Neodiprion lecontei: one gene and its partner. The protein of the gene in region 2 interacts with the protein of the main gene of each other region in a pairwise test. Links are inferred from orthologs where the notes say so. Each region holds a gene or a part of one and is shown on either strand. Other genes may lie near its edges. The genes, in order: apoptosis inhibitor 5 and apoptotic chromatin condensation inducer in the nucleus.

Evidence for each region.
Region 1: the proteins of apoptotic chromatin condensation inducer in the nucleus (region 2) and apoptosis inhibitor 5 interact in a two-hybrid assay, tested with the Drosophila melanogaster proteins (2 studies listed by BioGRID). The link is inferred for Neodiprion lecontei from reciprocal best matches to the Drosophila melanogaster genes Acn and cass.

What each region holds. Positions count from the first base shown.
Region 1 is NC_060265.1:6,383,004-6,399,627, reverse strand, and holds apoptosis inhibitor 5, read right to left. Parts: upstream 11,282-16,624; 5' UTR 10,958-11,281; coding exon 10,883-10,957; intron 10,664-10,882; coding exon 10,502-10,663; intron 8,686-10,501; coding exon 8,520-8,685; intron 8,419-8,519; coding exon 8,258-8,418; intron 8,164-8,257; coding exon 7,966-8,163; intron 7,886-7,965; coding exon 7,694-7,885; intron 7,606-7,693; coding exon 7,222-7,605; intron 7,094-7,221; coding exon 6,934-7,093; intron 6,683-6,933; coding exon 6,591-6,682; 3' UTR 4,458-6,590; downstream 1-4,457. Other genes in the region: mediator of RNA polymerase II transcription subunit 7, read left to right, coding at 1,055-1,384, 1,480-1,632, 1,724-1,924; leucine-rich repeat-containing protein 15, read left to right, coding at 3,127-4,149; insulin-like growth factor-binding protein complex acid labile subunit, read left to right, coding at 13,218-14,249, 15,592-16,624. UniProt on the Drosophila melanogaster protein: Antiapoptotic factor. Also known to efficiently suppress E2F1-induced apoptosis.
Region 2 is NC_060264.1:23,641,563-23,658,200, forward strand, and holds apoptotic chromatin condensation inducer in the nucleus, read left to right. Parts: upstream 1-6,596; 5' UTR 6,597-6,611; coding exon 6,612-6,636; intron 6,637-6,923; coding exon 6,924-8,352; intron 8,353-9,539; coding exon 9,540-9,627; intron 9,628-10,336; coding exon 10,337-10,456; intron 10,457-10,554; coding exon 10,555-10,759; intron 10,760-10,874; coding exon 10,875-11,083; intron 11,084-11,160; coding exon 11,161-11,391; intron 11,392-11,584; coding exon 11,585-11,842; intron 11,843-11,957; coding exon 11,958-12,083; 3' UTR 12,084-13,757; downstream 13,758-16,638. Other genes in the region: CD109 antigen, read right to left, coding at 60-252, 409-488, 1,951-1,983; THAP domain-containing protein 1-like, read right to left, coding at 3,139-3,236, 3,440-3,615, 3,683-3,879; transmembrane 9 superfamily member 2, read right to left, coding at 14,378-14,445, 14,534-14,705, 14,788-14,899, 14,988-15,139, 15,281-15,440, 15,552-15,729, 15,827-15,983, 16,330-16,506.

The DNA of each region.
Region 1 (16,624 bases), on a different chromosome or scaffold from region 2:
TCGCGTAGCTAAACCGGGTACGGTACTGATAACGAAACCGAAGCTCAGTTCGAAAATAGGCGATAGGGAAAGGCGCACGGAATTTGCGGTTATAAAATACTGACGTTTTGGGTGCCGAGTTCCTCGGAATCGCCTCGGCCGACGTCGAAATAGCCGGGAAACCGTGTAACAATAAAATAAAGACTATCGGTAGTCAACACAGTACTCTTACCATTCACAGCACCGGTTTGTCACACAGCCAGACGATGCATCGGTCTCGAGAACGTGGCTGCCCGCCGGATTCGGTTAGGGGTATAATGCGAAAAAAAAAATTCACGTGGATGCAAAGGAACACAGAGAGAGGCTTAGCGGCGGGCGGTACGGAGAGGGGGGAGGTAACCTGTCAAACGGTCGCGGGCGAAGCGACGGCTAGGCAAGACGGTCGGAAATTCACGAGATAACAGGAAATGCGCTACGGCGTTAGTCATGAGACACATCGATGTTCAACTGTTTTGTATTGGTCACTTATCCACTTGTCTGAATATTTTACACTTCGACATTCGGGCAGCGCGATTTAATCCCGAGTTGTTTCAACCGCGACACCGAGAGGCAAGCGACGCTTTTCCGACGGTCGAATAACGTCGCTGTGTAGGTAACTGGATGAACTTTGAAAAAGCGTAAACATTTAACATTCCCAGGCATCTTCCATGTTCGGCGCTACGCAGGCATGTAAACAAAACAAAATGGCGAACACTAACCGCCGCGCTGCTTTTGTTTTTTCCTCTGCTGTGACGACTCGCGTTGTTAGACGCTGAAAACACAGTGACTGCCTCGTCGACGAGCCTTCCACTGCTTTACTCGTATTTCATGGCGTGAGTAGATCCACCTCGCCTATCTTCACCCTCCGATTGATGGTGTTAAACCGAGGCTGATATCGTGGTTATAACCTAGCCTAACATGACCCATCTTTTTTTCATCTGACGTTTAAATTCCTCTGACTCGTTTCAGTTCCTTCTCTTTTCTTTTACAGGAATAAAATCTTACGACTACGCCGTTGATATTATTTTATTAAACCATGGCGACTCCGGAAGCGACGCAGGTCAGCTCGCTGCCCATGCCGCCTACTCAGTACATCAACTTGTACACCGATGAGAACGTGCGTAGAGGAAGAGCTCCCCGTCCTCCCCCGGCTAATCATGAGAACTATTCCATGTTCGGGAACATGTTCAACGCCGACGACACCATCATAAGGCCGCTGGAAGCGCAGGGGATCAAGAGGCTTTATCCCCAGCATTTTGACCGGCGTCGTGAGCTCAAGAAACTCAATCACTCTCTTCTGGTCAATTTTTTAGACCTTATAGATCTGCTGGTACAGTGTCCCGACAGTCCGAGGAGAGCGGAGAAGGTGTGTCCTTGATTTTCTTCATACTTGAGACATTTAACACCAGGAGTTATTGACGGTAATAAAGAATCTCATGGTTTTTCCTGACGTATTTTCAGGTCGAGGACTTGAGCCTTTTGTTCATCCATATTCACCACTTGCTTAATGAGTTTAGGCCGCATCAGGCTAGAGAAACTCTTCGTGTTATGATGGAGCTCCAGCGTAGACAGCGGACAGAAACCACTCTGCGATTTCAAAAACATTTAGACAAAGTATGCTATACGTGTCATTGGTTTATCTTTCATCACATTTGGTTTCTTCTAATATCACTGACTAAAATTTCTTTCAATTCTTTCTCTCTAGGTGCAGGAAATATTGCAGCATGCATTGCAGATGCTGCCTGACACCTCGGAGCTAGATTCAAGCCTTGCTGTCAGTACAGATACGATGGAAGTTATGGATACTTTGGGACTAGAGCAACAAGCTACAGATCCGTGTTGTCCAAGGGACCGAATGATGTGCAATATTATCGACGAAATGACCACATCGAATAATCTTTACTGATTCTGGATCAGCAAAAATTCATCCCAACAATAAAATAAAAACTGTTTTATTTATTGAAAACAGCGTCAGAAACACTGTTTAACAGCAATTAAAAAGAGTTTTCAGTACCTCTAATTCTTGAATTTTTAGTTTTCGTCACGTAAAATTACGAAAGTAAAAATAAACATGCTGGCTTGAATTGCATCTTGCTACCTTGGTTGAATGAAATAATTTTTATACTTCAACGCTGTTGAAAAACTGGTTTATAGTGAGCTTAGATATAAGGAACAATTATTAGTGAATTTGTCTAGACGCGTGTGAGTTTCTACAATGATTATTACTGCATATCGTTTTATACATAATATAATTAATATTTTAAATATTATTTATTACTGTGCTGGACAGCGATTAAAATTAAAATACTCTGAATACGGGCGCATGGCTCTGCGATTTACTGTACTTATCATTTGTATATTTGACTGACTTGGAAATAGTCCAGTAATCATTATTAAGAAATGAAGGATTAAAATGGAACTACGTATTCTCCAAAGAAGTGAATAAAAATGAATTTCAGTACGAAGTTGTGAAAAAATATCTCCTAGAAATACTATTATTAGGGATGTCATAACAATAAGATGAATTATTGATCATTAATCAAGGTAGATTTCATCTGAATGATGACATAGATTCACAGCGCTAAACGTAACATGGAAACCTGTAGCTGAGTGTAGAAAAACGGGACAGTTCAAAACAATTTTGAGCCGAACAGCCCCACGTTCTTGAACGGTTTCATAATGCTATGTAATGAATCAGTTGATATAAATTAGTAGATAACGATACTCAAAGAAATACTTGATCGAGACATGGGGACAAAGTATTTCGAAACATTTATTATGTAACGATTTGTAAAAAAAAAGTGTTAAAAACCTTTCTGCATCTCATAAATACCTGGAACTGTTTTTTAAAAGTAAGGAACATTCATGTATAATCATTTCTCGAAATTCCTAACGCGTCACAATTCTTTGAAATATATCTATTGCACGTTTGATTTATCTTATATTTCCAGTACATTTTACGTTAAAAATACACTTCTCCTGGTAATAAACTCCACAACAACTGAGTTCACACTGTCTGATAACAGTAGCAAAGTTCAAACGATAACTTAAAGATGAGCCAATATAAATTGTCTGCTGTTATGCAAATGAACAGTACAGAGTTTAGTCATGTTACGTTACGCGTTGCTGGTCCACGTTCTTGTGGCTCTCGTAACAGCTGAAACAGAGCAGACATGCACGAGTCACGATGGCTTTACTGTGTGTCATTTTCGAGGTGTTTTAAGTAGTGTTACACAGCAGAGGAACGAAGACAGATTGGAAATCAGTGATTTAAATTTGCTGTCAATCAAGCCCGGCGCCTTCAAAGACCTGACGATAACAAATTTATATTTGTATCAAGGAAACCACATCTCAATTCTACAGTCCGGAGCATTTACCGGCCTACCAAAATTGACCCGCCTCCATTTGGATAACAATGTTGTCACCCTGATTCCTAATCTATTTCAAGAACTATCTCAGCTAGAGTCATTGTCCTTGATTTATAACAAGATCAACAATATACCGGCAGGGACGTTTACCGGACTATCGAAAGTAATGTGGCTCTATCTCAACCAAAACGATATTCCGGAGATAAAGCCAAACATGTTTACTGGACTCCCACAGCTGTTGTATTTGTGGCTAGATAATAACAAAATAGCTACCGTTGCTTCAGGGTCTTTTGCAAATCTCAAGGAATTAAACCGTCTTCATTTGGACTACAACAAAATAACAGAAATAAAACCCAACACTTTCACCGGTTTAACGAAGCTTGAAACTTTATATGTTAACGATAACAGCCTAACGTCACTTCCGCAAGAGACATTTGGAAGATTGCCGGAGTTGAAGAGATTGTATGCAAATCACAACAAAATTGCAACCATCCATTCCCGTGCTTTTAAAGGCCTGAGTGATTTGAAGATCTTACATCTTGAGCACAACGAAATTTCTGAGATTCAGCCCGCTGCATTTGAGGGCCTCGTCTTGGTTGAAGAAATATTTTTGTCCAATAACAGAATTCACACTCTCCCAAATAATGTATTCGCTGGACTAACTCAGATCAATTTAATTTACATGGCAAATAACACTTTGACTCAAATTGATAAAACTAGTGTTCAGCTGCCAAGTTCCAGTACAGTTTATTACACTGAATAAGATACTAGCGGATACCTTGAAGATAAATTGCAAACTTGCTACAAATACGGACATGACAGAAGTTAACTTAAGACTCGAGCAGCAGCAGCGACAAATTTGTATTTCCAGAGCAACTACATTATTTCTGATATCAACTACAAGATAGAATAGACAAGATTTCAGTGATTATTTAATAGAGAAGATTCGTCAATGTTACGATAACAAAAATTTCTACCAATAGTAGCTGTCCAGGTGGTCTATTTAGTAGCAAAATATTGCACGCTTCGCCACGTGTCGTAGCTCAAAGAAACTACTTTTTTAAGAACGTAATACACACCCTACTAAATAATCTGCCAGCAAGATTGATACCTAGCTGATAAAAGTTTAACTAAAATTAATAGAAACTGCACTTGATGTCTAGATTTTAGTTTTGTTATAAGTGGTGATGCTGACAATTAGCCCTTGAAGATTGTTTGCTATACGGTTTTGTAGCTTAATTTATTGCCTTAGTTAAATGAAATAATTATTGTTTCTCCACGATGTAGTGATGGTCTATTAATGTATCATTAATCAAAATAAATGTCAATAATAAAATATGAATATAGTATGTTCTTCACCTTATTCCGTAATACTATCGTCTATCACTTATTTTCAACTCAATTTTTCTTGTAAATGGAAAAAGTAAAAAAGTGAAATAACAGTTATTGATGAATAATAAAAATCGTTTTTATTAGGATAATAATAAAGATATATTCACAAAACTACAGATAACATGAAACTTTTCATTTGATAATGGGATAGGGAAGCAGGGCGATGAAGAATTGCAATTATTGACTCACCTTATTCAACAGCTACCATCATATACAACACATATCAAACTACCTAAACATTATATTCCTGGGACTCGTTTACCTGAAAGAATGAATTTCATTAGTTTATAGCTTCTGATACCACTGAAAGGAACCCGGGCTGCAGGCACCTGAAACAGATAAATTTAGCAATTTCTCTTTCTTCTCTCGCAGCGCAGCTTACCCTCGTTTGCAGTTTCGTTTTGGTACCTGAAACCTCAATGAAAATAAATCATGAGATGACAGCAGCCAAAGAAATACTTGGTTACATATAACCAAAACTGAATCATCCAGACATTCAATCAGCAAGTAGTGAAAAAATTGAATCAGCGGTCGTTAAAGATCAGTACAATAAAAGGTAATGTGATAGAAAATTGAACATGAAGAGAAAATATTTTATACCGTTTATTAAAAGAAAAAAATAATAAAAATAAATATTCAAACGTAATATGGTATAACAATTTCGTCGAAAAAATTCAAAACACGAATACGAGTATATGTAATGAGCAGAAGTGTAATTTATAGGAAAGCAGAGAGTATTTATCGATTCAAGTATGTCTTTGGCTATAAAAAATCCTCCAACTTGTGGCTGCAGCTTTCTTGACTTTCCGCAACTGTAAAAACCCAACTACTAATGAAGGGAGAAAAGGATAGGGATCAAAATTCTACAAAGGGAAAGGCAGGGTGGAAATCATTGTAAGTTGCAGAACATAAGTTTGACATAGATTGCTGATTGATGAGCGAATTAAAATCCTCCAGCAGACCAGTGGCGGTTTTGCATTTGACGAGAATCGGCAGGTAGCTTATTTATGACCTCGGGAGCACGAAATTTTCAATCTGCATATCGTTACCAACAAAGGTACTAGGAGTAGAATTCTTCTTTCTTGACCTGCTGATGCCCATATGTAATCTCTCGATTCATATATTTTCTTAGCTTCTAAAAGCTTCTTGTTGCGTTCTTCATTCACCTTTGTACATAAAGTACAAAGTTGACCTCATTGTCGGTCAAATTAACTGGATATTGGCTGCTTCAATTTTGAATGTTTAACCATCGTTTAACATTACGGTCATAAAAATTAGACATCAAAATTAGAACTTTGAACACCACGAGTACCAAATATAACGAATGGGCACAAATCACGTCACTTTGATCCTTTTTTCCATCAGTATTTTTGTTTTTCCCTGATCCGAGGCATATTAATTAAGATGAATCAATACCTGACTGGACATGGATTTGCAAACAAAATTAACCACTTTGAGTGCAAAACACAACAGATCGACACAAACTGTTTCGGTTTTTATGTCTCGATCAACTTCTTGAGTCTTTCCTTCATTTGTAGTATGTCAATTCAGATAAGATTGACACTTGAAAACACTCCAACACATTAATACGTTAAAGCTGCCACATCGTACACCAACTCGTGGTAGTAATGGTACAGCTTCTTTTTTACAAATAATCTTCATTCGCATATGCTTCTCACATCGCATTTTTGACTCCTCAAAATCCTTTAGGCGAATTTTATAGCTCGTAATTTGTTTTAGTCTTTGCATGAATATTTTCCACACCTCGTACGGACTCATTGCTTATTTTACGTCATTTGCATAGGATCAAATTTAGTAAGCACTCCTTCGCCATCCGCGACCACGTGCTCTGTATCCTCCACCACGTCCGCCAGATCGATTTCCCCTGAATCTTCCGCGATTTCCTGATAAGCAGACCGTATAAAATTAGGTAACAAGTTTACAACACGTTATTCTAGGTAAAATAACTAGAATTTATGATAATACTTTTCCAGTAACTCCAAAGTTTCCTGACCTCTTAAGGCATTCACGATTTTGAGTTTTTTCACACTTTTCAACACAATTGGTGAACAACATTTCCAACCACTGTCACGTTTGGCTACATTTTTCAATCAAACGACATCAGAAAGTACATCAATTCTTTGAACATACTCACCATAATTTGAAGAAATGTTAGAGCTGTATTTGCCACTGGGAGGTGTGTAAATTTCTCGTTTGTTTCCTTTATTGTCGTCTTTGCTCCGTTTGTTCGGTGCATTATCGTTACCAAATGTAATCGGTGTGTGTCTCTTTTGTCCCGGTGATGCTTTATCAGTCTGAAATGAGATCGAAAATTAAATTAACGATTTTGCGGTTTGTTTTAATTTTGGATTTGTAATTATGTCATCATACAGAAGTAGTAACTAATTTGTTAGATCACAGATTATAGGTTTATGTTTCTTACCTTTTTGTCAGTTGTAGAGGGTTTCCATGAAAGATGTATAATGCTTTTGTAGCTCGGTGGTGAATGAAATAGGTCTTTGATTAAAGTGTTGATATTGTTGGTTGTTTTAAGTGCAACAACTTTCATTTGATTTTCGTCAGATTTCAACTGTTCTTCACTTTTTCCACTTATAGCTTCTCTGAGCTTCTTTATGTAACCCTGTATCCCCCTTGCAAAATATTGTAACCTCAGTCTGAACTCTTTCAGTTGATCCGCATCACGGGTCAAAAATTCTGGGACTTGCTTGCCAAGTTTGTGAAAAGTATACATCAGACACTCAACGTGGCTAAATTGGAGCTTTGGTAGCTCCGGCAAATCGGTTTCTGGAGGTAGAGGCATGTACGTCTGTTGGTAACATACATAAGTCATAAATAAGAAGCACCCAATATTTTCAGAGTATTCACATCATCATATTTGTTAGTAAAATACTTACAACAAGGGCATTGTATATCTGCTGTACTTTCTCTTCAGGTTTCTCGATCGTTCCACAGTAAGTAGTTAGTTCAGCAAGAAGTTTTAAAAGTTCCAATTGTGGATCTCTGCCTTCAGGTCCCGTGATTAAAGACAAATGGGGTAAGACTTGAACGCATATGTAACAAACAAATCTGGACGAGTCAACTTGCGACTGAAAACAGATAACAGTATAGTTATAGCTAGCAATTGAAATGACATTGATGTCTGATAAACAACAAGAGCTTCACACACATTGAAAAATGGTAGGGCATGTTTAATGCATTGCACAAGTCGACTCCACTGTTCTTCGTTGGTGTGCTTAAAGGGAATTGAAAGCTCAGCTTGTTCAACAATAATATCAATCAACTCCTGTTGTCCAGTAACTGTAGATCCCAGTCTGGTCCATGCGAGTACTTCCATAATGGAGTGAAATTCATCAGCTGTGACATCCTGCGGAAAATTGATATTCAATTGCAATAAAATTTACTGGAAAACCCCAAAGAAAAAAAGAGATATTGTAAAAGGAAAGAACTGAATTTTTCACCTGTAATACTTTCTTGCACTCAACAATCAGCAAATCTTCTGGTTCTTTAGTTATGATATCATGGCCAACAGCCTTTAGTTTGGTAGCTAAAAATTTGATGCAACGTTCTCGAGCTCCATCATCGCCGTTCAGAATCTGACTGAAAAATCCACTGATAGCACCTGTAGATGTGAACAATGCCTTAGTTAAAAATCGAAACTTAGCATGTCGAATGTATTTCTCTCTTTGCCTATGAACTTGAAGTATTTGGTGGTACACTTACCTTTAGGATCATTTTTTATTAGCGACATAATACTGTTTTGAACCACAGCCAATTCTGATGGATCTTGCGCTAATAACAATTGCGCCAATATATCAGCAATCCGCGCTGTATGTTCTTTGTTCTCTTTGCACAATGACGGCAGGTCTTTAATCGCTTGCTTCCTAATCTGTAAAGTCGACACGATTGTGATGGATCTTTACGCGAAGGTAAACTTGAAAATTGTAGAGAAATATTGAAAGATCTATATTCAATCTTACTGACAATGTTTTAATTACAAAATCCATCGGTACGAAGTGATAAAGGAGAGATGGTAAAACAGTAATGTTGGGAAAACTGAATCGTTATTAAACATAAACAGAATCGATTTGTCATTGATTACAACTAATTTTTATAAGTCATCTTTTGGGAGCTTTTGGACTAACTCTGATGCTGCCACCAAAAATATCGGTACGTATGATCAATAATTATTGATCGTCAATGGCAACGTCATTGTATCTGTACAATTGCTATAGCCAATTTCAATTGAGCCTGATGCTATTTTGGCATCTTCAAAAGCTTTAATAAATGGATAAGCCTGTAGATTTCACTAACTGCTGAAATTCCTTACACATCATAATACCTTGAAATATTGTTATTGTTTATGCAGTGTATTTTGATTTTCTAGAATGAGACATGTTTCACGTAAGCCATGTTGGCCTCATTATGTTTTTGTTGTTTTTGTCATAAAAGTGACAAAGTTCAGGATCAGTGCAGATATACCATCAGATTATTAAGAAAAGTGATTGTGCCAGAGCCAATTTCATGATGCTTCACTGCAGTAATCAGTAGTAAACAACATCTAAGAGATGAAAAGACTTTCATGAATTTGACTTTCACAGTCCACATCAACGTAATATAACAATGAAACACAAAATAGCCAAACAGCTACGAATTTCGTAAATAAATTTTCTGGTAACAGACTTGTATCAGTTTTAAGTCTGTTGTAAGATATATGGTTACCACATCTTTCTTCAAAATTATATCCATACCCAACTGCGATGCAGATGGGATTACTTTTGGGTTCAAACTCGTTGATTACATGTATTTACATATCACTACTTTCAATATCAAAAACAGGGAATGGTGAGAGGAATTTGTTTTAAAGAGGATAAACGGTTTAATATATAATATACAATGAAACGAGTTTATTGTTCATGATCAAGTTGAAGAGTATGAATTCAATTTGGGCAAAAGAGATTTAATGACTTCAACGATAATTATTGGAAGGCAGATTTGGACGGAGGAACTAAACTTGACTTGTTGAATGTAGCAGCAGAAGTGTTTGCTTGATAAAAAATTGAATGGAAATGCACTTCATGAAAGATGAAATAAAAATCATTCAGACAATAGGTGTGAATCCATAGGGATAGATGCAGAAATTCACGATAATTGGAGAACATGTGCATCTGAATAAGTGCAATCCCGACTGGTTAGAGCAATTAGAGTCTAAATGAATATGGAGAAATATAGACAGGAAGGAGGCTGTAAGGATTACAATAAGGAATGGGAAATATTATTAATAAGCGATAGGCGATAGTTAATCAGAACAAGACTGGGGGAACATCTGGCTGACAAACAAAAACCAACATATACACTGTTTAAGTTAAATAAATTCCGTAGCTGTATATGCATATGGTTTTTTGATTGTTTAATCAATACGTGTAACTTTCGCTTCAGGTGCAACAGTTGAATTACCAACGGAAATACAAATAGTCAGAGTGAGGCGCGATACTAAAAAAATATTTGCGCACATTGTTTGTTCTCCATAAATGTACAAAACAAAGTTACACATTACAACTGTACAACTACGCTGACTAAATAAAATGAATAGTTGATTGAGGTTTACATAATTATCATATGTGGTTTCGTTAGTGATGGGAAATGAAATGTATATTTTACAGAATAGGTAACATGGTAATCGTTACTGCTAACAAGGTACTTACAGCAATGTCTTCATCTTCGCAGAGATCAAGATGAGCATCGATTGCCTGATCTGCGAGTTTAGGGAAGTGTTTGAAAAATCTGGCGATGAATTGCGAAGCAAGGCGCTTTTCTTTCGTCGTTCCCTTCACCGCGGTGAGAATTTCCATGTACTCCTTTTCATGCTAGAAATTTATTAAAATAACGTAAATTAATTTTACACAGAGGGAACTATGAGAAAGGTTTTGCAAGTCACCAATAATCTGTATAATTTCAATTTTGCGAGCTAATTGGATCTTCAACATTTCGTATCCAGATAGCAAGAATAATTCAGCAAAAATAATGTGAATCAAGACGTGAAATTCGAGGGAAGTATAACCAAGCCAACGGTAGAAATTACGAACCTCGGCTAATTTATCCTTGGCGTCAGCTAGTATGCCAAAATTTTTATACAACTTCTCAATGCTGTCGGTACTCATCGTAACGGGTGAGTAAAATCCTTTCAATCTGATGAAATAAAACTTGACCAGATTCGTGGGACTATAAATTACACCGTAAATTCGTCCACGTCCAACCGGTTTAACGCCACGCCAAGAATGAACTCAACTCACACCAATGGCCGCCAGGCGACAACAACTGGGTGAAAATTGAGAAGGTAAACTCAACATACGTGACGACCCGAAACAATTTCCGGCGGAAATGCGTACGCTTGACGTTAAGAGGAGGCTACCGGGGTTGACCGAAGATATACGAAGACTGCTAGCCTTATGAGAATTTTCGTAATCGAAAGTGGACTAGATAAATTTCACCGTCAAGCTGAGTCCTCCCCTCCGCGCGCAACTCAATCCGGCAATCGGTCGGTAAGTAGAGGCGACAAGAACCGGTATTACCATCGCTCACCGCGTGTACCCAGATAATGCAGAGTCGAATATTATTATGGAAACGGAACGACGAACGGGCACAGACTGAAATCTTCATACAACCTCGTAAGGACGCCGTATACTTTCCAACTATGCAAATTCATTTCAACCAAATTCATCAGTCAACGATGGGAGTAGCCTCGCGTGTGCAGAAAGTGTGGCAGAAAAGTGAGGTGGAGCACTTATGCCATGTACTTATGCTCGTACTCGTACTCCCTCTGCTCTACAACTTAATTGGCTGGTCGATACGTTTCCTCTCAGCCAATCAAGGGCAGGGTGACAGAGACGGAGTATCCTGGCTGACCCGAGGATATATATCTCGCTCTCTCGTCACTACGGTCACAGATTTCGCGAGGTTGAAGGTACGGGTAGCTGCTAACTCCAGTAGTACATTTTGGAAGGCTTAATTGGCAAAGTGCTAGTCGGTAATCGTGTCAATTTGACAGTGTTTGTCGGCTAGGGAAAACGTTGGTAAGCGCTTTGTCGGTAACTCTAGATATTCTATATCTTTGTTTAGAATTGGAAATGTAAACGAACAAGGAACTGATATCGGTATATCAGTTGACTATGCCAAAATCGCGGGATGCATCTTGTCGGTTACTTGCTGCTCTATTTTTTTAATTTTTATCCGTAGAATGGTTCTGAACGATCCTGTAAACTTATATTTAATTTCGTGCGATTCACGTGATTGGGTCTTCAGTAATTTTAAAACGTCTAATGAAATTTCAAATTCTTTCAGCTCGTTTTCAGCCATTCCAAATGATTTCAAGTATTATTGCCTTAACAAGGAGTACAGGCTTAAATCAATGGCAATATCCAGTATATCAAAAATTTTAGATTTGAATAGTCCCTGGGTTACGACTCGATGAAGGAAAATTAAAATACGTTATCAATCAAGTTCTAGAAATTAAAATTATCTAAAATAGTAAAAAAGTTTTTTGGCTTCTCATCACAAAGCTGAAACGTACCATTTCAAATGGCAGATGAAATTCAAATTGTAATATTATGATACTGATCGCAACTGAATCTTGATTACATTCCGGTGATTACTGTGAAAGTAAATCATGCTGCCAAACAAATATATCGAGGATAAATAGTGAATCCTCCCAAAATTTTAATCAGTGAAAATAAACTTTAACAATCTATTTTTTGTAATTACTGCAAAGATTGTTGCAACGTATATATTTCATGAAGTATACGATACGATTTAATCAGTGAAGTCAATTTTGTTTACGCATTAAGCAAATGATTAATTAATATTCATTGATCACGTGTTTAACTTCGACCGTAATTTCGAAAGTAGATGTTATAGGTGAAGGGTCAGAGATCTATGAGTATCGCATAAAGTGATTATACTTAACCGTATGACATGAAATGGAGTAATAACAGAATCCCAACAAATGGAGTAAGAAGTACATCCTCGATTAAAACTGTACATCAATCATCATAGTATCAAAAAAGTGGTGTTAGAATTGACCAAAAGAGTCTATAAAACTCGGCAGCAAGATTTTTTAGAGTAGTTTTGGGTTTTCGGGATTTGTTGATTGGAATATCTACTACGGTTGTCACAGGCCAGTCCGATTACTTGCCAATCAAAAAGATTCGTCTTCTGTAAAAGAGTCGAGTAGATACACCTTGTATGTTTCGCAAGAATTTAACTATATTTTACGTATTTAGCGGTCATCGGAATCATTATCCTCAGCGTGATCACTCGCGCGACTCTGCGCAATGTCGGTGGTAAAGTTCAAAGATATCCTTCAGATATGGTTCGACTTAAATAGTCGGAGCAGCAAGGCGAGACGTTAGAAGGAATCGCATCATGATTCGTCGTGCAGTGCTAGTGAACTTTCTTTTGGCAGTTGTGGTTGCTCAGACGCAGCCGACGTGCAAAAATGTGTTCGACTATACCGTGTGCAGTTCCGTCGAAGGTGTTTTAACCGAGGTAACGCAACGAACGCACCATAATCGTTTGGAAATATTGGATTTCAATTTGATATCGATTGAACCTGGAGCGTTTAAAAATCTCTCGCTAGTAACTCTACACCTGTTTGCCGGAAATCGAATTTCGAATTTGCAACCAGGCGCGTTCTCGGGCCTGCCGATGCTGAAAGACCTGCGCCTTGGAAACAACGCCGTTACGCTGATTCCCAACTTGTTTCAAGAATTGCCTCACTTGGAAAGGTTGTCCTTGGCCAATAACAACATTACATACATACCGGAGGGGACTTTTAACGGATTATCAGAATTGGTACAGTTGCAACTACATCAGAATCTGATTGCGACGATTAATCGAACAACATTTTCTGGTCTTTCGAAGATAACTTCTCTGGAGCTAGAGAGCAACAGAATAAGTACCATTGCCCCGAAATCGTTTGTAAGTCTCAAGAAATTGAAAAATCTTTACTTAGATAGAAACAATATAGGAGAACTAAAAGCCGATACTCTCAAAGGTTTAACGAAACTTCGTTCTCTGCACATCAATGACAACGACATAGTAACTATTGATCAAAGGGCATTCAGAGGATTGTCTAAACTGACCTTCTTACATCTCCAACACAACAAAATATCTACAATTCGATCAGGCACTTTCATTGGTCTCAGCAGTTTGGAATCTCTGGATCTTTATAATAACGAGATTTCAGTGATAGAAGCTGGTGCGTTCGAAGGCCTCACGTCGGAGTTAAGTATCGATTTGAGTAACAATAAAATCAAAACCCTACCGAATGGCTTATTCGCTGGACTCACAGACCTGGAGTCAGTTGATCTGTCCAATAACACCATAACTGCAGTTGACCCAAATGTAATTCAGTTGCCAAGTACTGCGACAATTCAGTTTTCGGTACCCACCGAATAATTGTGTGCTACTTTCCACATGAAGATTTCGTCTACTGGAATGATGAATATGAGTGAATAAAAAATTCCGCTCAATTAACAACAATGTAATATACTTTCGCACAATCTTTGAATAAATAATATTCCGTAGAATGTCTCTACTGCGTTCCAAGAATGTATAGTACTTTCCCGTTTAGATTCATGTAGTCAGCTTGCAACAGGCACACTCACGATTAGTATAAATAGTTAAGGTACGAGAATCGATTCACCAGAATTGTGTGGCCATGATTCGGTGTGCGATACTCGCGTACTTCCAATTGGCCACTGTGTTGGCTCAAACCCGACTGAAAAATGAAGGTAGGTAAGTCTACTTGGTAATATTTAAATCATTGCGTGACTGAAACGGTTCAAATGACAATATTCTATTCATTCCGATATTGTTACGAATCAAGCATCACATAGATTACATTTTTCGCCTAATCGATCAATTCCAATCGTGAATTATATCCCCGCTCTCGAACACATCGCCCAATTCTCAACACACCCCTCTCCGTACAGGAAAAGCTGCCAAGTGAATTCAGCGAAAGAGAAGAGTCTGAAGTACTGTTACGCAAAGAGAAGTTTGAATGAGTTCGTTGCTAACAAGAAAACCGAAAATGATTACGGTAACAAAATTCCACAAGATTTATTTTATTGTCAAATACACTGTCAGAAAATTCACGGTGTCTATAAAAGTTAAAATCAACACCAAAATGGTGTGGATTTTTATAGAATATATTATACACGTGCGAACGATACTGAATGATCATGAATGACGAGCAAACCATCGATCATCCCGACGCAGAGATTTCTTGGATTTACGTTTACGTGAATTGTAAATCTTACGAGAGTTGTGAGTGACGGCCTGAAAGGAATGAAGTTATTCTATTACTTGTTCGAAGTTGATTGTCCGCAACATCATTTTACTCGTTAAATTCGTCGTATACTGAAGGAATTGGAACAAAAATTACTACAGTACTGTTTGCATGGTTGCTCCAGAAATTTAACATCAGGTAGAGATAGATTGACATCAAATTGAAACCGAATAATTTTTCAGAGTAGATCGCTGTTTTCGTGGATTGTTGATTGGATATCAACTACGACTATCACAGGCAGCCCCATAAGCGCGAATCTAAGAATTTAATCTTCCGTGAGGAAGTTTAGTGAATACGCCGGTTACACCCCGCGGAAACTTGATTATGTTTTACGCATTCGACAATCATCTGAAATATCATCTCCGGCGTGATCAATCGACACGTGACTCTACGTAACGACGCTGGCAAAGTTCAAGGTAGCCTTTAGATATGGTTCGACTTAAATAGTCCGAGCAGCAAAGCACGATATTAGAACAGAATCGCGTCATGATTCGTTGTGCAGTGTCGGTGAACTTCGTTCTCGCAGTTGTGCTTGCTCAGACGCAACCAACGTGCAGAAATGTGTTTGACTATACCGTGTGCAGTTCCGTCGAAGGTGTTTTAACCGAGGTAACGGAACGAACGCACCGTGATCGTTTGGAAATATTTAACTTGAATTTGACGTCGATTGATCCTGGTGCGTTTAAAAATCTCTCGCTAGTAACTCTACACTTGTCTGCCGGAAATAGAATTTCGAATTTGCAACATGGCGCGTTCTCGGGCCTACCGAACCTGAAATATCTGGACCTTGATAACAACGCGGTTACGCTGATTCCCAACTTGTTTCAAGAATTGCCTCACTTGGACAGATTGTTCTTGGCTAACAACGGGATTACCCACATATCGGAAGGGACTTTTAACGGACTATCAGGATTAATAAGGTTACAACTGCATCAGAATTTCATCGCGACGATAAATCAGATAACATTTTCCGGCCTTTCGGAGATAACTTCTCTGGGGCTAGAGGACAACGAAATAACCACCGTCGCTCCCAATTCGTTCAAAAGTCTCGAGAAATTGAAATATCTTTACTTAGACAGGAACAACATCAAAAAACTGCGAGCCGAAACTTTCAATGGTTTGACTGAACTTGATTCGTTGTCCATTTCTCACAATGACATAGTAACCGTTCATGAACGGGCATTCAGAGGATTGTCGAAACTGACCCTGTTATCCATCGACCACAACAAAATATCCACAATTCGATCGGGAACTTTTATCAGCCTAAGTAGTTTAGAATATCTGTATCTTCATAACAACGAGATTTCAGTAATAGAAGCTGACGCATTCCAAGGCCTCTCGTCGATGACTCACATCAGTTTGACTGACAATAAAATCCAAACTCTACCGAGTGGCTTATTCGCTGGACTAACGAACCTGAAGTCAGTCGTCCTGGTTAATAACACTATAACTGCAATCGACCGAGTTGTAGTTCAGTTGC
Region 2 (16,638 bases):
ACCAACAGAAGTATCAGATCAAGTATGGCACGTAAAAGAGCATGTGCACTGGAACAAACCTCAAGCCTGACAATACGAGTTGAATAAGGTTCCACCGTAATGGTCTGGGAGACATTGAATACATTTCCAGAGTCCAAATTTCCGCTTAACTCTATGTAAATAGTGGATGGCTGAGATATCTCTGTTGTCCCAATAGACACGTGATATTCCGAGTTTGGCCGGACAACTTTTGGTCCTATAACTGTGTAGTACCTTTGAAGAAAAATATCTGTGAGATGCGAGCAATAAAACATAGAATGATGTGTTCGTCATTGATATTATTTTGCACGATTAAAGATGCCGTGAAAAATTATCTCTATTAGACAGAACCACGATACATAGCTGATGACTGGAAATACATAAACATACGGAGAAGATGTTACGGTAGCAATTGTCCCCAGCATGAGCAGTAACGGTGGCCATAGCGTGTCCATTATTTCTCGACGGCACTACAAAATTCAAAACATGATCATATTACGTTATCATTCCTGTATCGTTGGGCAAATTTACTGTTATGTCCGTTTACTTTTCGTACGAGTACAAACAAGTTGCCATATTTCCCATATTACGTATCAACGATATGAAAATGTTGCAGTCAGCGCAATTCTACTTGCAATGCCGAATACAAATATCCAAAATACGTTTTGCTTTACACAACATTAAGGCCGGAAAATATATAATTTGAAATACCACTTATCGCCGGAATACATTCGCTGGCGTTAATTTTGCATGAAATATGAAAGTTTTTGGATATTTTTGTTCAGCAGCTTATGTAGAATTACGCTGAGTGTTGGCCTTCACATCAGTGATTCGTCGGCTTCGGTAGTAGTAGTGAAGGATAAAAAAACATTTAACTCGGTCGGTAAATACTGACTAAGCATCCTTTTTACATTTACAGGCACTCGATACACCTGTGCGTCAGAGTGATAGTAGGAAGCTACGTCTTTGCCGAAACAGGAGCTATGTCTCACTGATATTGAACGTGATGAGCATAGCTTTACAGGTAACTCGCTACTCACCTCAAAGAATTTGGGTCGGCTTTCCCTGATTCTCTACTAAACGCAGCTTTCTAATATGGAACAAAGCTATCGGGATTCTTTGCCGAAAACACAATCTTCCGCAGGCGTAGGATGATCAGCGATCCAGGAAATGATGAACCGCGAAATGTACAACAGGAGCAAAGCAATCACAATTTGATACACGCCGATGAGTTAAATACTCGTAGGATGTATAAATAAGGCGCGTCGCTGTACACGGATCTTTTCGGATTTTGGAGGCGATAAAACAGAGCACACGAAGAACCGGGCGTGTCGAAGCGAACGATGAATGTAGTAGGAAATTAGCGCGGCGAAACTGGTTTTCTCTGAGCGACGGCGGTCACACCTTGAGAAGATCTGTGGGACCGATGCAGTGCCAATCAAGGTAGCCGTTGATCGCTAGGAATCCTTTCTCTCCTCCGCATTCCCCACTTTTTCCTCGAGTATGACGCCCCGTGACTTTTTATACATATACATATAATGTATTCTTGTAGACTGCCCATCTTACGTATATACATGGGTATAAACCGTTACGATTACGCATATTGAAGTACGGTGTAATACAATTGAAGTTTTATGCAAGTGGTACGACATAACTGTGCGTTTGGGAAAATCGCAATTATTCCCGGACATTCGGCCGCTGTTGCTTATGCAGGTTCATGTATTGCAACTCCTAATTCATAATGATTAAATAACCAGCTTATTATCCTCAGTCGTAAAAAGGACTATATCCTACAAATTATGACGCTCCAAAAAGCAGGACTGCAATGAGCCGCGCAATGGCCGCCTATAAATTGAGCCGCCCATGTTTCTCATCTATCTCCTATTCTTTAATCGTGTAGTCAGATGCGTGTTTTCTATTTCTTTGATTCACCTTGCTCAACACGTGCCCACACAGACATCGCATATTCAACAATTGGTAAAATCCACTCGGTGATATCGATATGAATACACATTCGTGGTTGCAATTCAAGAACTCTCTAACTGAAGAGAAAAAATGCATTTCGTTCGGTGATTTCATCATTTCACCTTGCATACGAAGGTTGCCTGCACAGACTTTGCGTGGGTGTCAGTCACTGCCTGTACTGTACTGCATATGCTTGCTGTGGGACCTGCCACTACGCTACCATCCCACTGATCGTCACGTAACTTAAATGCTCAAAGGGCTCTGCAGTGTTGCCACCCCATTGATTGTAAGGGGTTTAGGTGAGTTTCCAGTCTTCATCAAGGTGAATTTTTAGTAGGAATTGACTCAAGATGTATACCTATAGGAATAAAGTCTTTTAAACCTTGCCGAGTTTGCTTCGCGGGTAAAGTTATGGTAAGGGGAGCTGAAGGGCCCACTGATATATATATACACTGGATTGGATATTACCGTATACTCTACGTGTAAGCTCGTGTGTCCAATTGAACACTTGAATTTCCGCCATCTTGTACAGAAAGTTGTCACAGAATGCGCGCTAGATTTGAACTGCGTAAAATATGCTATTTAAATCTAACGATATATTCGTCACACAAAAAAGTTTTTGACGAGTAAAATAATGTTTGATACATTAAATGAAGAACAAATCATTTTTTCGAAGGTATATTATTATTTACAATTATATGATGTAAAAGATCATTAAATAATATGACGAAAAACTTGTATTTAAGCGTGATTTTTCTTTATGTTCAAAAGAAGTCCTCAATTCTAAGAAGGTTCCGTCCATTATCTTTTATCCTATGGTGGGCTGAATTTCATACGGATTATTCAAAAATTTGTATAACACTAATTCAACCGTTAGGGAATTCATTTACCATCCATTGATCATCAAAGTGGAGCTTAAGACATGTAAAAAAAGTTTTGAATTAAACTATATCGAATTGGGTGAGTAAAAACTTTATTCAAAAATATGGAGAATAAAACATTCCTTGCAAACGTTAAGGAATTTTTATAGAGTTGCGTGCGATAAACCACAACAATATAATTAGTAGTATCAATCCACAATCCATTCACATGAAGAAAAAGTTACAAGCACAATCAAAAGAAAATAAAAAAGATGTACATATCTGAGCATGCAAATCAGGTACAAATGTGTAGGTGCTCATGTAATTTGGTTACATTCACTGTGGTGGGCCGATCGGATTCATCCTGAAATTCGGTCTGCTGCAAGTTTTCACCTACAGATAAGTTACTAATAAATAACGACAATGGAAATACACAGAAATGTGTCACACACGATTTTTCTGTAACAGAGCACTTTATAATCTGTAGGTAATTAACCGCTTCGACGACATTGACGCAATAGTGCATCACATCAACGTGTCTTTATGCACACTGAGTTTTCTCTGACCTAAAAGGGATTAATAGTTTCAGATCTTACCAAATAACGTTGGGATACTGCCTTTTCGTAAAGTTATATAATTTTTACTTTTCTTCTGAAAGCAAGAGAGTTCAAAGTGGTCGGAACACAGAAAGCTATCACTTGATGGAGACCACGGACCAATGTTTATATTTGCGATCCACTGCTTCATAATATCAGGTTCATCCAATGGGAACCTACATAACAAGCAAAGTTTAAATTTATTAATTCACACGTTATGTTGCATTGAGTAACGGTACTTACTTGAAGAATGAATAGCCACGTCCATATTCCCTTAATCGGTGACAAGATGAACACTCTGATTTTGGGTTGTCAAATATAGTTGGTACACTGTTCTTTTTCAATGTAATTAGGAATCCTGTCCTATCAAAGCAGTCATTTGTAAAATGAGCCGAACACAATGTGCTATTTCGGTTTGGCTTCCAGTCCTTCCTCTTCATTTCTTTTAACCACTGCTGAAGGCGCAACACATCTTTCACGGGAAATCTACATATCGAATTATAATTTAATCCCTGAGTCAATAATACCCGAGTTTTCAATTTCAATTATAATAAGATCGGTTCATAATTCAAATATTGTGAATTTTTACTGACACGATTCGTACGTTATAATACTCGTTAAATATAATTAGTAAATACTTCGTATGCTGACATAACCTCTGCAAGTTATCATTTGCAGAACGCATCAGCGCTGTATACTCACTTGTGAAATGATAGCCCACAATATTTTCATTGCTTTGTTTTGCAAAAAACGCAGGTACTCATTGTTACCTCAATAATTGTTACTGTAATTTTCCAACACAATCGATTATATACACATACATATATCACGTATATATTTATATATATCTAAAGTGACAAGAATCTGTACAAAATGGCTACCGTTCAATTGGCGTGACGGCACCACGCTTAAATCCAATCCAGTGTATATATATATCAGTGGAAGGGCCGGAGAAAAATTGCTGCGTTCTGCTCAGATGCTAACTCGGTTTAATATTGAAATTCCATAAGACGAGTTGGTAATTAAGTGCAGAGCAAGAGAATTACCCCCGGACCCACTAAAACCCACGTGTCCCACGCAGCCGAAGGAAATATATTATTATGCCAGAGCTTGACGTCTTTATATATCTTCAGTTACAGCTGAGAGAGCGGAATCCACTGAAATGTATATCTCTATTTCAGTGGCGGAATCTTAGAGCATTTACAGTAATATGCTCCAAGGGGGAATCTGATCGTGAGCCATCTTGGATTAAGCGACGAGCGGTGAGAGAGAGATAGGTGTGTTTGAAGTTGGTAAGCTCTTGTCGCACTCATGGCGACTTCCGGCAACTATCTGTCAGGACCGTCAGGCCAGAATTGTAGCTACGCGCCATGGCTACGCGTTGTTTCGGTTGCGTGCACTGAGCTCTACTAGCTGTTATACAGAGTTCAGTAACTTGGTTCAATGTTCATTGTCAGATTGCGTTATTTTGGTGGTATTCTCTAATTGATATATAGATACATCAATCAACGAAAACCAACGCCAAAAATCAACGCCAAAATCAAGCGGAAACAATCTATTTGCACAATAATGTAATCAACTTCTCAATCAGATCTTATCACACAAGATCAATCTATATTTATACGAAAATGTAATCAACTTCTCAATCAATTTGTATATACGTCATTTATTCTTAATATTATAGCACATTCATGTTTATTAGGACTCATTATATGAGTTACACTTTCACATTTACATAATTTATACGCTATCTTGACTGCTTTTGCTACAATTTACATTCGAACAAATCGAATAAATAAAAACAGAAAATGAAGAATATTTCTGCGTGTCTATGCATAACCATACCTGGAAGCATGCTTGGGATCAACTGTCGAAACTCAGTGGACCGATGTCTGTGTTAGTCAGTACATATCGTGTGTGACAAGTGCATACCAACTTCAAACAACTATCTCTGTCTGACACATTCAACCACCCATCACTACCATACACTTGTTCCACTCACGGAGTAGAATAACTCCGTGGTTCCACTAATATTAGAGTTCAGTGCCCGAAGTCACTGCAGCACAGGTTGGTATTATTGGACATACATTGTAATCCTCAGTCGACGCATTGTATATATTGTTGAATGGTTTTCAATGGTTGCGAGTTGCGATAGAGCAATACAGTACCTAGAGTTCCAAGTTACGCCAGCGTAGCGCCACTATCGAATCCTTGTTTGATTTTTTACAACGATATGCTCAATCTCTTAATCTCTCTACTTCATGTGGTTCCGTGGTGATTCGTCGTTGTTCGTGGTTGTTCGTGGCGCGAGTGCGGCATCTGCGGCGACAATAATCACTTTTCAGCTAATAGCGTCACCGGACATAGACATATTTGTTTCTCTATATAACAATCAAATAATACACAACTAGTCGAATCGTTTTTTCGACTGGGTTGATTCTAATCACGTTGCACAAATATAACAAATTGTTTTGCGATCCATAGTTTTCCATCGGTAAGTATCATCCTCCGATATAACACCGCGTTGAATAAATTTCTGGTCGCGTCGAGTAACCACAAATCAACATACCCCTGGGTGCGCGAATTGTGCTTGGGCATACATCGCAACTCAACTCATTCGAGCTCTAATTAACTTAACCTAACTTAGCCGAGCCTTTCCTAGCTTAATTTTATCCCCTGCATAGCCCAACCCAGACAGCCCAGCTTGGACGCAGTAAAGCTTTTTCAAACTTATTCATCAGATTCGCGCATGAAACGACGACCCAAGTATATTTCACTTGACTTTGAGTGAAATCCCTCAAATGAAATGTAAACGCCTGAGACTGAGTGCAAGCAGTACTTCCATCATCTGACTGTGCAAATGCTCATCGATAATTTTTTTCTTTGATTCCACAAAATCTGTTTGGATTGCCAAATTTATTCAGCACTAGGATTATCAGGTCCTGTGAAAATGAAAAATCTTGTAGAGAAAATACGCAACATGTAGGCACATTACTGAATTCTACCCAGCATTTTCTCACACTTGATCAATGGGCAGGTACCCCTAAAGTTCAGCAACCGGTAATTAATGCTGCGTAGGTACAAAAAACGTTGATTCAATATATCCTTTTATTCGACAGTACCCTAACTAAAATACATGAGAAAAGTTTACAAATGCATTCAATTCTATGTCATGGCAGTGGAAATAACAGGTATAGGTAAATATCTGTATTAAGTACCCAAAATCAAAAACCACCAGTGATTATGCATAACCAGTCCGAGCAGCCGTTTGAATTATTTTAAAAATGCAACTAGGTCCGGGAAATTCTGCTGAGGCCAGAGATTACATAAGTCAATCCTTTCAATAATAGCGACACTGCCATTGTCGTTACTTGATTTTCAACCCTCTTCCACAATGAATTTGACAAAAAATTTGTACCAGGTTCTAACAACATATCATACATGATTCAGCAAACCAGTGAATTGACAGTTATCGTTGTTTCAGAAATGAGGCGCAAAAGTGAGAGGAACAAATCCAAGGGATCTCCGGAGAAGAAGGTGGAAAAGGCAACACGAAAATCTACACGGAAACGTGGTAGAAGGGCGACGTCGTCATCGCCAGAAAGAGAGGAATTTGAATCTAAGTCGGTGGATTTGTCAAAGGAACAAGAGAGCATACCAGAATCGATGACGTCGCTGCCAGCCACAAGGCTCAAGATCAGAGAGTTGAAAGCAATAGCGGAAGAGGAGTCATTGGCGAAGCAGATAAGCAGCAGCAGTAGTGCCCCGCCCTCGGAAAACCTTGAGGAAGGCGGAGGGGAGGGAGCTTCGGTTTGGAAGGTAGCGAGGGCGGATGCCTCACCAGGTGAAATCCAGAAGCTCAAATTATGCAGGCAGCGAAATCCATCGGAAGCATCGGATAGTTCTTCGTCTAGGAAAAAATCTCATAAGTCGTATGAAAGTGGTGAGGGTGACGGCGAGGAAGGTGACTCCGCCGAGGAACCGCTTAGGTCACGGAAGCGGGACCTTGGTGAGGAGCGGCAGGATGATCCCTCCTCCCCGAACCCGGGTCAGGACTCCAAGGAAGAGGTAAGTCATTGTAGGGAGATCCTGCCCAGAACCACTTCAGCCAACTTCACCTTGTCTGACGATAAAAAAAACGTAGATCGGCTAGCCGACAACAACGCCGACCAGGCTATTCGTTACGACCAAAACTGTCCTGTCCAGAAGTCGCCAAAAGCAGATACCAACGAACAGGAGGAGCCCAGCTCCAACGGAGATGATCTAGATCAGACAAAGGCCCCTATAGTCGAGCGACAGGCTTCCGAGGATGTTGATAAAAACTTGCCAGAGGGAAGGAAGGGCAAGGAAGAGGTGGAAAAGGTGGGTGAAACTGAAGCTGAGGCTGTCGTTCGGCTTAACGAGGTGCCGATAAATGACAGCCAGGCTGATGAAAAAGAGGATTCAATTGCTCCCGCTGAACCTGAAACTAGAGAGTCGAGTACTGACGAAGATAGCTGTAACAAGCCCATTGCATCTTCGGTGACAAGTGAGACAAAGATTCAAACTAAAAGGTCTGAACTACTTACGTCATTGCGTACAGTGCGGCGGAAGCATCGTGATAAGTATCACGAGTCCTCAGACTCTGACACACCTGAATCTGAGGATGAACCCAACGAGAAGAAGACTAACGATTCTCAGCAGAGAGAAGAAACAGGGAAGGAATCAGCTAAGATCAAGAGCAGCAGATCCCCGTCTCCAGTGAACAGATTTGGCTTCTGCGCAGAAGTTTCAGCGGATAATAAAACTGAAAGTTCTGGAGAGATAGAGGAGAGGAGAAATAGCCCGAACGATTGCAGACCCTGTGACCAAGTACCAGTTAATTCACTTTCAGCTGATTATAAACCTGCAAAAGTCAATTTGAAGCGATCCTTGTGAGTAAAATGCTGTTTTGTGTGTTATTTTGTTTTTATTCTCCTTTTTCAAAGCCACTTATCTCATGGAAAAACGTCTCTAAATGTGGCATGACCACCCGAATACAATCGACTAAAATCTGTATGGAGATTTAGTGCTCTTTTGTTGCTAATTTATTGTCTGTGTCGCGATTTTGTTGCTTCAGCCGTTTCGGCAGAATCAAAGCCAATGCCAGGTTGGAATAAAGTTGACATTGCTTTGAGGAAAAATTTAAAAAAAAAAGTAAACATGGTCTATTAATTGTAAGTTGTTATTTAGTTGATTGAATGTCACATAAATATAATTTCAAATTAAACCTTTATTTCAGTAACTATACAACCAGTATCCACTTTAAGAATTAGTTATTCTGGAAAACTCCACCGCATCATTTTGTTATTCCCCTGCATTTGGGCAAAAACTCCTTTTAGTGTGATGAAAATACGCAATTCCGCAAAATGTCCTTTATTTAAACGATTATCAAACCTATTTCTACTTTTATAATTAGCTGCGCTGGAAGACTCCACTACACGATTTTGTTGCTCACCTGCATTGGCCCATGTAATCGCTGAAATAATCGACATTTCGAGTAACTTGGTATTTTTATCACACTAGGGGTGGTTTTTGGCCAGAACAAGGTAAGCAACAAAATCGAACTGTGGAGTTTTTCAAAGCAACTAATTCTAAAAGTGTATATTGATTGTAGAATCACACATATAAAGGACATTTTCATAATTTAGTATTTCTTATCATATTGGAGGGGGTCTTTGGTTAAATGCAGGTGAGTAACAAAATAGCGTGGTGGAGTTTTTCGGAGTTACTCATGCTTAACGTAGATGTTGGTTGTATGATTACTGAAATAAAGAATAATTCGAAATTATATTTACGTGACATTCCAGCAACTAAATAGCAACTATACATGTTTTTTTTTTTATCATCCACCCATTGCAGTGCTAATTTTTTTTCACCTAGCATTGCCCTTCATTCTGCCGAAACGGCTGAAACAAAATCGGGATTTTGGCAACAAATTCATAATAAAATAGATGTAAATCTTTATGTGGATTTTATTCGATTTTGTTGACGTCGTCATGTCACCTTTGCAGACATAATGATAAATGCAATGTAAGCGATCATACATTTAAAACATGTTCTTGCTTCAATTACTTTGCAGCTCTGTACGGTTAATGGAAGCCGAGGAGTCAATAAAAAAAGATGATGCCGAGAAAAATGGAGAAAGCGAAGTGTCTCTTCGAGTCAAGGTAAGAATGCGGTGTACCGTTTTAACGTTCTTGATGGGTATTTTTCAGATTCCAAAGAGATTTTGCTTTCACTGTCTTGCCATACAACTCAATGCTTCCAAAGCTTTGGAAATCTTACTACAGCAGAACATTGATAATCCGAACTAATTGGGACCGGGAGTGGTTCGGACTATCGAATCGTTCGGATTACCAAAAAAAGTGCTTTCCAGGCATAGTAGCATGCAAAAAATGAACACTGACATACTATTTCCCATAAAATAAGAAGCACGTTGTATTGTTAAAGGTAAATAGTTTGTTTTATGAAATACTACTGTGCTACAGTAAGGTAATTATATTTTATGTAATGTATTGCACATGAATTTCGTAATATTTTTAGTATACAATCCTATACACATACAGAAAGTACAGTACTGTACACACAAAAAAATTATACTGTACAGAAAGATAAAAAAATTAAAGAAAACAAAAAACTCAACAAAGAACATTCGAAAAACCAACACAGGCTCAATAACAACACACATGATGCAATGTTTACTACGGTGATGCTCTGTTTACTGTAGCAGTTAGAGAGCGATTCTGATTACTATTTTTATTTTTTCCAAAACGGCGTTCGGATTATCAAGCGTTCGGACTACAGGGGTTCGGATTATCGATGTTCTACTGTACTTACGAATAGGTTGACTAATTATATGTCATGCTTGGCCAACAGGAAATTCACAACGTAGCTGAACAAGCCGATGGTAAAAATTTACCCCGCAAGCGTCGCTGGGGAGTTGCTGTTACAGCAGAATCAACCCCAGCTTTTACGGTATCGACTGATTCCTTGAAGGTATGTTTCATCTTTCCTTAAAATTTGCTAAATTGATGTCTACACTCGGGAATTTCGTAAAAAATGCTTGTCTGATTTTCTCTCCAATCGTTACGCAGGCTTTGGTACCCGGCGCAAAGCCACTGTCGATTACAGAAGTCAGATTATCCAAAGACGATGATGAGCCAAGGGAACGACGCAAAGAGCGGGAAAAACGGCGTTCGATCAGCGCCGACGCCACGGAGCCGAGAGTTTCCGAAGACATTGCAATGACAAAGAACGAAAATACGAAAAAGGGAGATCTCAAACACGATAATCACATAGGTGGGTCGCAGACGCAGTTTAACACGCAATTAATTTTAAACACAACCTGTATCCAAAATTTGTAGTCCCTCCTTTTCATTCAATCGTGTATTTAGATATACTTGATATTCCACAGGTGCAAAGCGGAAGATATCAATACTGAAAGAAGCGCCTCCCGTCAAATCACCAAGCCCGTCATTGGCAAAGGCGACAAATGTACTGCTGATAAAAAACCTTGTTCGCCCATTTACTTTGAACCAGATCAAGGAACTGCTTTCTCGGACAGGCACCATTATAGAGAATGGCTTTTGGATAGACGGGATTAAGTCCAAATGCTACGTAGTGGTGTGTATTAAATTTTTAACTTCTCAATTTCGGGGGAGCTCGATATTTATCTTTTCCGTTATCTTAATTATCAACAGTATGCGAACGAGGACCAGGCATTTGAAACCAGACAAGCCCTGCACGGAATTTCGTGGCCATTGTCAAATCCTAAACGTCTTCAAGTCGAGTATGCAACTATAGAAGATGTGGAGAAAGCGCGCGAACTGTTCAAAGACCAACCCGCCCTCCGCGCTGCAGAGCCATCGGTGGGTGGCGATACCTGGCAACAAGTCTGGGCCCGTGAGGAGAAGCAAAATGCACCGGTCAAGGTAACCAGTTTTTCAAGTTGCTCACAAAAGACTGATGCTTTTGGAGTCACTGCTGTTTTTCTTTCCTACATATCATTTTACCCACGAGTTGAGGTCGTTTCTTTTCTTGGTTCGGCCTTGCGTTGTATTACCTACCTACTTTTTTTCTTCCTTCTTCATATCATTGTAACATAACAATTTACACATCGTGTAGGTGAATACTGTCCGTGAATGGGATCTGGGTAAGGAAGATGGCCATCAAATGAAAGAGAAGGAACGGGGAAAAAAGGATTTGGAGAAGAAAAGAAGGCAAAGAAGTCGCAGCCCACCGATAGAGCCTCACCTACCTCCACCTGCTCGGAAATTCAAGAAAAAAGAGGACGACCCACCGCCAGCCAAACTCCTCGACGATTTGTTTAAAAAAACTAAGGCCATTCCATGCATATACTGGCTGCCACTTACAAATGAACAGGTAAAGGAGAGGTGATGTTACCACACCTGTACAGGTTTCTTATTCTTTCATGGAGAAACGCATGACAATGAACCGTTTGTTATTCGTGCCTATAATACCTATGATCGAATTTCAGATTGTGGTAAAGGAAGAGATGCGTCGGCAGCATATGGCCGAACACGCGCGTAGACTTGAGGAGATGAAGCGCGCGGAGAGAAGCAGAGACCCTGCCGCACGTCGCCGGCGCAGCCCCAGAAAATAAACTCTGTTGGTTTTATCCAACAGTTGTATCCTCCCCGAGCAACTCAAGATTACATTTACGACTAGACAACAACACGCGACCGACGTTCAGGTCTTAGAAGCTAGAGTCTGTATAGAAATCAATCCAATGACTTACCTATTCCACGAGACGATCGTTGCACGCAAGAGACCAATTAACCATCTCTTTCCTCTATTTCTCAACCCCACTTTTTTCCCCAGCCTTTCCTTCGACTTTTTTCAATAAACATGCTTCTTACTCGTTACCGTATCTCAGTTGTGATTGACGAGCAAATCGTTCCAAGACTTTCACCGGGTTGCAGACTTTTGGTGCATAAACTAACTTGTAATTCCCGTACGACCGACGCACGAATCGTGTCCCATCTCTCCAGTCCATTCCTCAATTTCAGCATTAAACCGTATTTCTTACAGGTCTACGTCTGTTCATAACCGTTCACCAAAGGCAGTAGAGATAGTGATATTGTACTTTGATAACTGTACCGTAAGGGGACTGTCGCCGGCAAGAGACATGGTATTATTTCGACTAATAGCATCGATATCACTATCAGGCTTTGGCCTTGGTAATAATTTGCCCCCGGTCCGGGTGCGCCGCGTCGTGGGAATAGGAAAAACAAAGACATTGAAATGGATATAAAAGGAAAATCGAGAGACGTACCGGCATTGGTCGATCGACACTCGAACATGGGGGTGTGTAACACAACCAATACTGCGCTTCAGTCATGCGCCGCCACCCGCGTAATGCTAGTTCCAACAACTCGAAATACATGCAAAGAACGAACAACTTTTACTTCCGATGGAAATTTTGAACAATGTGTATTACGTACAATACATAGTAATTTTCGTTAGCCGACATTGGCACGTTTGGACAAATATAACGCGCAATCGGTGTGACACCGTTAAATGTCGGCGAACTTCGAAACGTGACGAATAATGTGTTATTTCAATAAATTCACACCTGCCATGAATCAGGTAGCAGCTGTTATTCGCCGGCGATTTATGCGCAAGTGTAACAACATACGGCACGTATTGCCGCCCCGCCTTGCGGAATCACATGTATATATTATACTTGATATATCCCAAAATGTGGCATGTAAAATTATTCATCAATAAAAGTAAGAGACCTCAAAATACAATCTCTATACGCGCTCTTTATAACACAAATAATAATAATAATAATAACAACAACGACTACAATTTACAGAAGATTTGACATTTGTTGTTGTTTCTTTTCGGTCTTCATAGTTAATAATTCACAGAGAATGCCCAGATTTATTCAACTGTCCCAGGTATATGCAAACAAGGTATGCCGGTAATCTATTGCAGGGGGGCACTATTGTTCACTGCCTGGGTTTGATTCAATGACAGTGGCAAGTATTCTGTTTGATAGTGCAGTAGTTATTTGTAAATAATTTTTGGCACTCCAAAAATGCTTGGAATTCGTCCCCCCCCCCATGATGTTACATTCTATCAACGCACAATGTTATATTCCTCGATACCAGAAAATGATATTGACGAATTGTCGGCAGGCTCTTTATTCAATGTTACTGGGTGATCCCTATCTTCAGTCACAACAGGGTTTGTATTCATACAAAACTGTCGATCTCAAAAACTGCTATTTCGAAAGTCTTTGATACAGCATAAACGAAAGCTAAAAGTAGGTAATTGGAAAAAATCCCTAACATAATGACCGATTTGTACAAATTACTCATACATATGAATATTAATCTTCATATATGTATATATACACGCTTATAAGATGCACACTTAACATTAAGTGAACTATATTATCCTTATCGTTATTGTTATTGTTACCAATAACATAATTTATGTAACACGGTATGGTTTACCCGTCTTTTTTTGCCCCTTACGTCGTAGTACTTAAAAGTGTTTGAAAGAAAAAAGATTAAAAAAAAAAAACCACACTTATAAACCGTACTTTTGTTACATAAAGTATCTTGTGCACCATGGAAGCAGTATTTGCCTCGCTTATTTCTAATATTCGTCTTTGGCTTGCGCAAGCGCTCGCATACGACTCATATTGCAAACTTGGACTTTGCGTAAAAAGATCTATTTTGCATCCTTGGTACACATTCAACTATTTTTCTTTTCAAACTCTCGAAAGTTGGTGTGTCCTTGGACGTTACCGGACCGATATACTCGAGTAGTTTCGTGCCATTATTATAGGCAATGAATTATTAATTTTCTTCAATTTCTCACAACAGCCACCGAGAAGTAGGGTACTCTTCGGGACTTGATAGAGTTGTAACAAGCCTTGCACTAATCAACTTTCACTACGCTGTAGATTTTACGCACGAACCAGAAGCAGGCAAAGAATCCAATGGAACCTGAAATAAATATGCAACATGGATTTTGGCAATCTTTCACGATGACGCAGAACCATTAAAGACTTGACGTATCCTCGCCTCGACTTACCTGTGAGTAAGAAAAATAAGAACACCATAATAAGGGTGTATCCGAAATACAGGAACGTCGATGTTGCGTCTTCAATATTAAGTTTTGTGACAAAGTAGTGGATACAGTAAACTAGAAGATAGAACGCGGTGAAACCTGATGTCAAGAAGCTCCGCCACCACCAGTGGTAATCCTAGGATGCAGAATATGTGATATTCATTTAGGGATATTACTGTAAATAGTAAGTGCATTGCCAAAGTAATGCTTGAATTTACCTCTGCGCAAAGATGGAAGTAGCAAAGAAGAATTGTTGTCTCTGAACATGTTATGACAAGAATGAGAAATACCAGGAACAAGAATCCGAACATGTAGTACACCTGACTTGACCTGGAAACGGAATGTGTATACATAAAGCATGAAATAAAATATCTTACTTGGATTGATAACTATGTTGGTTTGCAAACGTCTCATTTACCATAGGGAATTTAACAGAAAGAAGAGCTGAATGAATATGCATCCAAAGGGCAAGACTCCTCCCATCACAACTCCAGGAACAGCTTGTGTGTAGAAACTTTGTTCCGGAATCTGCCGTGGGATCTGGTTGGTCCTTACAGGATGTTCGAGAGGCTGCGGGGATGAAAATTAAAGAAGACCGTTACTCGATCTGAAGAATTTACGTTGTGAATCAAGGCGGAAGGAAATAACAATGACTGTGAAGACAATGATGGAAACAACACCAGAGAAAGTAACAATGATAACACTACTAACCCTTTTCCTAAAGCCAAAATATGATCCAACGAACGTAAGAGGAACAGACACACCGAACCACAATGCCAACAGGGCGACAAGTGTGCTGAAAGGTACAGCTGCGGAGCTGTCGTTCATCCAGAATATCAAGTTCATTACAAAGAACAAACTGAAGACAATGCTGGAATACAGTTAAATCGTATTAATAATAACATTGGTATTTTTTTTTCAGCAGATGCTGACTGCAAACAGTTAGGTTCTAAAAAAATGCTTGCATCTATCTGCAACTTACCCAGGGCTAAGCATAGAAGTTAGGAGAACGTTCGACTTCCACTTTTCTCCGCCAAAACTCTTATATACACGAGCTGAGACATATCCAGCTGGGGTGCCGAGGCACACATATAGAACCATGGCGCAAGTCATTAGGGCACCACGATTTGCCGGTGAAAGGAAGCCAAGACAAGCAAATGCTTGAGAGAACGAGCAATATTGAGTAATTACTGTTTAGTTCCAATATTATCCTATTATGGCTTTCTGCTCTTAACCAAGACTCAAGTTTCGACCTACCTAAAGTAATCAGTGCCATAAAGAAAACCTGAATGCCAGAGCCGAGAAGTACCGACAGCAGCATCCCTTTCCGCGGAGGGCGAAACACATCACCGTGTACCAACTTCCATCCAAATTCCTCCTGCGCGTCCTCTCCCGACTCTATCTGAAAGTAGGCCTGCGTTATCACAACACAGACATTGCATAATCACTATTTCATAACGAATAATATGGCTGGAACCCATATATTTCTTTTTACATTTTTAGATCAAGTTTTTTGGACGATGTGATGAAGGGAATCTTGCACATACAATATTAATTCGCATTTACATGCTGTCTTCCGTTACCTTCCAAACCAAAATAAGACTAATATTGAATATCCAGATGAATATCTTGGTCAAACGGTAGGTAGGACTTCAATTTTGAAATTTGTCAGGCAACAAATCCTAAATTTGACTCGATAGGTGCTTTGTAAAAAACCTGTGCAACAAATGTGCAATGAAATAAGTAATTTGCAAACATACCTGGTTATATCGAGCAATATCTTTATTCAGCGTGCGTAGCATAATCATAGCTACCATCCCAGACAAAAAGAGAACAATCACTAGCGAATTTAGGATACTAAACCACTGGATGTTTGTTTGTGGCATTGACTCGAGAATATAATCCCATCTCGATGACCATTTGATTGTGTTATTTTTCTGAAAATTGAATTGAATTTTATTTATTAGATGCACAGATACAGGAAGATTTTTCCATAATTGTAGCAATTACAAAAATTCTTTTAGCTCTAGCCATGACAGTACATGTAGCTTATGTGATTTTCAAACACT